2 linked regions of the Diceros bicornis minor genome follow. The protein of the gene in region 1 purifies or fractionates together with the protein of each later gene. This does not show direct contact. Links are inferred from orthologs where the notes say so. Each region holds a gene or a part of one and is shown in the gene's direction. Other genes may lie near its edges.

Region 1 (3,749 bases):
GGCCTGTGCCAGCACAGGCCGCAGGTTTAGCCTAACAGGGAGGCCCGGCGGCTTCTGCAGTCAGAAAACGCCCGCGGCCTCTGCAAAAAGTCCCCTTTGCCTCCGACAAACCCCACCTCGGCTCGACCGAGCCCCACGAAAGGCCAGTCGGCTGGTGGAAGACCTTTCAAGGTGCACAGAATTGCATGCTCGTGATTATTGGGTAGACTTTGCGGGCACAGTAATCTCTCCAGACTAGAAACCATTTTCCTTTCTGGCTCTGAGATTTTGCTTGGCTAAGCGGAGGCAGCCTCCCTGCCCCCCTCCCACCCCCACCGCCACGGCCGCTGCAAGCAGCCACGCCCCACGGCCCCGGGGCTCGCCTCCGCGAGGCTCGCAGCCCCCGTGCAGCCCGCACGCCGCGCCTCCATTCGCCCCACCCCCAGCGCACCCCCATCCGCCCCCGCGGCCGGCCCTGGGAGCGCCGGGCGAGCCCTCGCGCCTGCGCCTCGCCAACTTCCTGCCGCGGAACGCCCTGCGCACCCCCAGAAGCCCGCCTCCGAACGCCGCGTGAAACCTGCTTGCCGCACGTCATTGGTCGAGGCGATGAAGCCGTTGGCTCCCAGGTCCGCCTCTCCACCGCCTCTCGCTTTTCCCAGGGCGGATGCGCCTGCGCTCAGCTGCCTGGGCGGGCTGAGAGGCGCGGGTTGAAAAGTCTCGTTCCAAGTTTGGAGAGAGAGAGAGAAGAGCGCCTCAGACCTCGGTACCCGCGAGCGGGGAGGAGGCAGGAGAGAAGGACGCGGCGTCTGGGGAGCACCCAGGCTGTGAGCCGGAGCTCACGCTTCGAGAGCTAGAAGTGTGTGACGCGCCTGGGAAAGGCAGGAGCGCCTGCGGTTGGGCTGCTCTTGGCTAGCGAGGGGAGTCTGAGGCGGCGGCGAGGGGCGAACGACCCGACGCAAGATGGCGAGTAAAGAGAGTAAGAGGCCCTGCGGGGCGGCGCACGCCGGGGCCGCGGGGGGCGGCGGGCGCGCGAGGCCGCGGCACGCGCCGGCGAAAGGCGCGAATTGGCGTGAGGAGCAGGGGGCGGGGCCGGGCGCGAGGCTGGGCGCGCGCCTCGAGGGCCTACGCGGGACGGGGCCGCGGCGCTGAGGGCTTTGAGCACTTCCGGAGCCGGGCGCGGGGCCGCGGGGTGGGCCCCCTTCCCTCTCTCCCCTCGGACCCCCCCTCCCGGCGGCGGCGCTCCCTCCCGCGCCCTCGGTCCCGGGTGGAGGCGGTCTCCGCCGCCGGAAAGCGGGCACGGCGGCTTCTTCCACGCGCGCGCGTCGACCGCCTCGGGGTCGCGGCCCTTGTCCGGGGGATTCTGGAACCCGCCGGCCTATGGCTGCCGACACCGGTTTCGTGGGAGCGGAGGCCTCTCCTGGTGGGGGTTGGAGGGAGCGGGCCGATGGGGTTTTGCTACACGTGGATTCGTCTCCCGGGGCGGGTCGTGGAGCTCCTCTACATACGGGTCGTCATCTTAGAACAGGTGCGAACAGCAGTAACCAGCAAGACAGTTTCCGTGTCCGTGTAATTAATTACTCCGTTCTGAATACGCAGGCGGTATTGATCTCAAACTGCAAAAAATAAGCTTTCTGGTGTTAATATTCTCTCCACATTCTGGAAGAGCAGTTGTTCGCGTCCAAATTAGAGGTTAAAGGCAAAGAGTAGATTAGGTGTGGCCGTCTCGAGGTGATCTCCAGTATCTGTGTATCGATTCTGATTTTGATCCCTCTCAGCCGCTTAATCGTATGGGCTTTCTCCAAATTTCAGTGTTTGAAGATACTGTGGAGGAGCGTGTCATCAATGAAGAATATAAAATCTGGAAGAAGAATACACCGTTTCTGTATGACCTGGTTATGACACATGCTCTGCAGTGGCCGAGTCTTACCGTTCAGTGGCTTCCTGAAGTGACTAAGTAAGAGTGTCTGGCAACTTTTATTTTGCACGAATTTAACTCTTGTCCTGAATTTCCTAATTTTGGCATTTTATACATAGAACAGAAAAATGTAATCAATTTAGCCCTTGGATGAGGTGGCAGGTGATTTTTATTTTCAAAATTTAAGTGGTTTATGGGATGATTTCTGACGTATAAGTGTGGCGTTAAAAGGGGAGAAAGAATCTGCTGTGAGATTAATTGTATTTGTAGGAAGCGCTGGATATGTTTGACATTTCTTGGGTTTAAATATAGAGCGGTGTCTCTTTGGGCTTCAGACTAATGGATTTCTTTAAAATTTTATTGAAAAATAGCATATGTACAGAAAAGTGCACAAATCATAAGCCTATGGCTTGATGAATTTTTACGGTGAACTATGTAACCATGAACCCATGTAACCAGCCCCCAAGATGAGTATGTTTTAATTGGCAAAGGGGAAAAGAATTTAGCAACAGCTCACCAAAGAAAAGGTGTTGTTATTGGCTTATAGTATGAAATACAGTTTGAGATTGCTGTTGGTCTTCATACGAGTGTTCTTTTCAGCTATTTCTAAAACGTCTCTGGTAGTAATTGCTAACATTTGAGCACTTAGAACGGGGCCTGGCACACCTGAAAAGTTCTACATGCTGTTATTGGGTTTAATACAACAGCACTAGGATTACTTTTTATCATCCTTGTTTTACTGATGTGGACATTGGGACTGAGATGTTAAGTAACATGTCCAAGATTACACAGCTGGTAAGTGGTAGATCAGGTTTTTGAACCCAAACCGGATGGCCCCAGAGTCGAGGTATCCCCTGCACTAGGTTACCTTTCTTATATACTTGCACTTTTTCTAGTAGGAATTTGGCTATGTACTTTACAAGTGTATTAAATTTGGGTATTGTGAGCATATAATTTAATGAAGATTAATCAAACTCTAATCTAGAAAGGGGATTTTGCGACGTTATAAAAATAAGAGTTAGTTTATATAAAATTACTCATATAACAGCCACATTCTCCATATGCCGTCATTGACTTCCATACAGATAGGGGCTTCCCTTGGGGTTCCCAAAAATCTCAACATAAATACACAGATGTGGGAAGAGTAGCCAAGAACTAAATAATGGAGAGGTCTAAGCGTTGATAAAACAACTTTGAGCATCGAATACTTAAGGGTATCCAGGTTCTGGTTTAGAGCATCTTGTGCATTTTACTCTTTGTGTTTTCCTGTTAAGCAGATTTAAAACTTTAACAACTTAATTTACATTCTCTTGGATGTTTCTGACCTACTGTAACAGTAGAAAAGAGCGGGGGCTTTAAGGTTAGAGACCTGAGTTTGAATTCTGCCCCTTGCTTCTTAGTAGCTTTGTGAATTCGAGCAAGCTGGTCAGTCTCTATCAGACGGAGTTGTCTGGTATGTAAATTGAGGTGCTGATGGTACTGACTGCTTGCATTTGAGGGAATTAAATAAGATCGTGCATGTGAAAGTGCTGGTGCAGAGTAAGTACACAGTAAGTGGTGACTGATGCTGATTTTTACACCCCTTTTGTTCAGAAATAATTTGTTAGATAGGATGGAATAACTGTGTTTTTCCATTTGGATTTCAATGAAAGCTGCTTACTGAAGTCTTTTTAAAATGTTACCTATAATGTGTTTTGCATAAAGATTTTAAAGATAATAGAGCTATATGTTCTCAGCCCAGATATTGCTTTTATGTTAACGCTTAGAAACTTAACAGAAAATACTTTAACTAAATTATGTATGCCATGGTGTTCTTTGCGTATGAAGAAGTGGGATCTGGTTGTGGGACGTGCAG
Region 2 (3,749 bases), on another chromosome or scaffold:
GCTAGATAACACAAGCCCCTTACTTTGGATTTTACCCTGTAGAAGATGCATAGCCCTTGAAATGCTTTCCATCATTAAATTCTAAATCTAACTTTAATGCAGTTATGGCTGGATACCCTTACCATCCTCCATCAAATGTCTTTGGACCTTGTGTTTGAGAAAGAAATGCTGTACAATTCACAATATTCTATGAAATATCTTTCAGTAGCAAATTGCCACTTCAAGAAGAAGCCCTGTCTTTATAATGGATAAAATACAGTTTTTAGATTTGTCTGCAAATGAAGTTTCCTCATCTGTAAAATGGGGATAATAATAGCACCTACCTCAGGGTTATTAAATTGAGAATTAAACTCAATATAACCTATGTAAGGAGCTTACCAGGGTACCTGATACAAAGTAAAAGTGGTCAATTAATATGAGTTATTATGTTTATGATAGTTATTGAATCTTCATTGTCTGTCATCCCTATCATTGAGAAAATATAACATTTCATTAAGTCAAATATGTGTTTTCATTGATAACTGAAGTTAATCAAGACTGGTAGCATCTTTAGGTTGCATGTGGTAAAAAATAAATGCAAAAAATACTAAATGAAAATGCCAAGATAAAACTTCCATCCTTTCTATATTATCAATTGCAAAAGTTTCAAGAACAATTTAAAGATTTTTGTGCAGCATAGAAAGTGCCACTTATCGTCTGCAGTTCAATATAATAGTTTATTAGTAGTAATAAAGGTGGTTAGGTAGAAGAGACGTTTCTCCAGTTCCCCCAGGCTCAAAGAGGAGGAAAAATCCTCACGCAAGAAAACTTTTCACCTCTGACAGTAACATCTTGGAGAGCCAGGGAGCTCAGACAATCACTTGGCGGGAAAAGAATAAATACAGACCAAAATCGCACAATCTGTTTCTGTTTAGTTTATAAAGTGCGATCAAATCTGTCAGCTTTTGTGCCTTGTGGGACTTGAAGTCCAGAGGGAAGAAGTGATCAGGGTTGTTGAGGCTTGGAAACAGGCAGCCCCTGCAGGTCTGAGCAGTAAGGACTACAACTCCCGACACCCACCGCAAGGCCGCGCTGTAATTACGGGCAACCAACCGTATCCGAGCAGGGCAAGCTCCGCCCCCCGGCTCGGAGGACGGCTTCCACCAATGGCAGAGCTCCCAGCCCAGAGCCTGCGGGTTAGGTTGTGAGGCTCGGGCCGGGGGCGGGGAGGAGTCGAGGGGGTTCAGACCGAGCTCGGCCGCTGGGTGGGTCGGGGCGTCCGGCGCGCCCTTCATTGAAGCGGCGGTGGCCGGGCTGGGCGCCGGGAGTGGGAAGCGGCGGCGCGGCTGGAAAATGCCAGTCCACTCCCGAGGGGATAAGAAGGAGACGAACCATCACGATGAGATGGAGGTGGACTACGCCGAAAACGAGGGGAGCAGCTCGGAGGACGAGGACACGGAGAGCTCGTCGGTCTCCGAGGATGGAGACAGCTCAGGTGCGCGACCCAGCGGGGCTGGGACCCGAGCCCTCGCGCCCGGCGCGCGACAGGCCGCTCTCCGCACGCCGGGCAGCTGCGTCCTGCTGGGAGAGCGGGGCGGGGAGAGAGGGAAGGGGCGGAGACTGGCTCCCGGCCCTCGGCGGCGCCGGGACCGGTCGCGGGGCGCTGCCTGGCTGCGGGCGGGTCCCCGGCGGCGGGGCGGGGCGGGGCGGGGCGGGGCGGAGCGCGGGCCTGGGCTCGCCCAGCCCCGGGACGCTGCGCCGTCCTGCTCGCCGTCGGACCCGCCCTTGGGGCCTCCGGGCAGTGCTCGGGGCTAGCGACCGACGCGGGGGATGCCCCGCAGCTTGTCTGGGAGACCCTGGAAATGCCTCCTTTCCCAGACCACCGACTTCTTTCCTTATTTTTCACCTTTACAACCCTTACTTCTCAACACGGGTGTGTTGTCCGGCCCGACGGTAGATGTGTACCTGCTCTTGGCTGGCTTAGAACTTCGTAACCTCAGCATCGAAGTCAGCCTGTCAGTCAGCGCTTCACAGCGGTGCTCCTGCGGGGGCTGACTTGGGAGCTGTCCGGTTTACGGCATCTCTCTGAACTTTTCAGGACTAAGAAGAGCCCAGCATCAGGGGTGATTTTGAGTATTCCTATGCTTATGGGAGTGGGAGGCAGATAACGCCACAAATCAGTTTTGCAAACTTTTAGGAATGGCTATTAAGAAAATAAATGGAATTTGTGATTAAGATTCTTTTCCTTCTATGCCAGTGATGAGGATGAGACATTTCTTTCTTGGCCTGATTTTGGCCATGTAAAGCAAGGACTGATGACAAGTTAATGACAGTTTGTTATCGCCCCAACGCTCTCTTTTCAGGTTTCCCTTTTAAAGCAAATCTCCATGGAAGTATGTAATTTCAGTTAGTATATTAGCCATCCAAAAATAAGTATTTATGAGTGACTTCCTTGTGCAGGACTGGGCGCTACTCAGTGTGAGGTATAAATAAATAGTTATGATCTGATCTCAATTAAAGAGCTGTCATAAGTCACCACTTGATTAAATTGTCAAATGAATGCTTAACTATAAACAATGCTGTAGGAATTCAGAGGCAGAGGAAATCTTTTCAGAATAGGGTGGTCAGCAAAGGCTAGTTGAAGAAGGTGGGATTACCTTAATTATCTTGAAGAATGGGTAGAATTTAGATTGGGGTGGTAATGGTCAGGTGTTTCCATAGGGGGAGGAATGTAAGAAAAAGTGGAAAGGTCAGAGCTTAAGGCTTATTCAAAAGAGTCAGAAAACCAGTTTGGTTGGGAGAAGGGTTTGAGCTAGAAAAGGAAGGTATAGATGTGAAAGATTTCGAAAAAGCATAAAACAGGATTGATGAATGCAAGTTGAGGAATGAAGGTAAGAGGAAAAACCCAGATACAAGGAGAATTGGTGGTAGCATGAAGAGAAGTAGAAAAGTAAAAGATTTGAGATGAAGGTGGAAGATAGAATATTTCAGACATGTCGCTTTTGAGGTGATAGTGGTATATTTAAGTCAGAGCGCCCAGCTGACAGATGGAAATGTGGCATTGGAGCCTGCCTGGGATGGGAAGCATAATCTGAAGTCATCTGCCTAGTTATGAAAGTAGGTGAGATTTCAAAAGTGAGGAATACTGAAAAAGGACATCTAGATTGTATGTGAATACATTTCCTAGATTTGTAAAACATTTTATCATCAAGTGTTCTTTGTTTTTTTGGTGGGAGCTAGGATCCTACAAAATGACACCTATGTGTTAAAATTCTCCCTCTCTAATTTTTATGTTGACTGTTTTGATTTTTTCATTGGTTTTTATTCCATCCCAGAAAATAATGGACAACTTAATCTGTGAAGAATGTAATAATAATTTGAACTACAAGTCAGATTTTTTAAGTGCAAAGAAATTATTTAAATAAGTTTTGCAGTTTTGTTTCTTGTAAAAGCGTCTCTTTTCTACCATATATCTTGCACGTTAAACTTCTGCAGTTTTATTCTTCTCAAACTTTCGTACTAAGCAGGTCCTAAGGCTACAGAAAACACTCTACTATCCAGAGATATTGGGGAGTGAGTCATCTTGAGAGACCAGATTTTAAATAGCCAAGGTGTAGGCTATTAAGAGCCAGAAATAATTTTAATCTGTTTTAGAAAAGTTAAAAAAATGAGTCATATACTTCCTTGCTATATGAAAATAACGGAACATAATTGAACTCTTTCTCCCAGTTTGACCTTTATTTGAGGAAGATCAAGATGCAGATCATTTT

The links. Proteins that work in one complex are often made in the same cells at the same time.
Region 2: the proteins of RBBP7 (region 1) and BRMS1L purify together in Homo sapiens (affinity purification with mass spectrometry; 4 studies listed by BioGRID and IntAct, counting the BioPlex papers as one, with this or other methods). This does not show direct contact. The link is inferred for Diceros bicornis minor from reciprocal best matches to the Homo sapiens genes RBBP7 and BRMS1L.

The regions. Positions count from the first base shown.
Region 1 is NC_080781.1:13,856,377-13,860,125, reverse strand, and holds the start of RBBP7 (histone-binding protein RBBP7), read left to right. Parts: upstream 1-1,341; 5' UTR 1,342-1,356; coding exon 1,357-1,504; intron 1,505-1,788; coding exon 1,789-1,933; intron 1,934-3,749. UniProt on the Homo sapiens protein: Core histone-binding subunit that may target chromatin remodeling factors, histone acetyltransferases and histone deacetylases to their histone substrates in a manner that is regulated by nucleosomal DNA.
Region 2 is NC_080744.1:13,663,366-13,667,114, reverse strand, and holds the start of BRMS1L (breast cancer metastasis-suppressor 1-like protein), read left to right. Parts: upstream 1-1,254; 5' UTR 1,255-1,332; coding exon 1,333-1,474; intron 1,475-3,749. UniProt on the Homo sapiens protein: Involved in the histone deacetylase (HDAC1)-dependent transcriptional repression activity. When overexpressed in lung cancer cell line that lacks p53/TP53 expression, inhibits cell growth.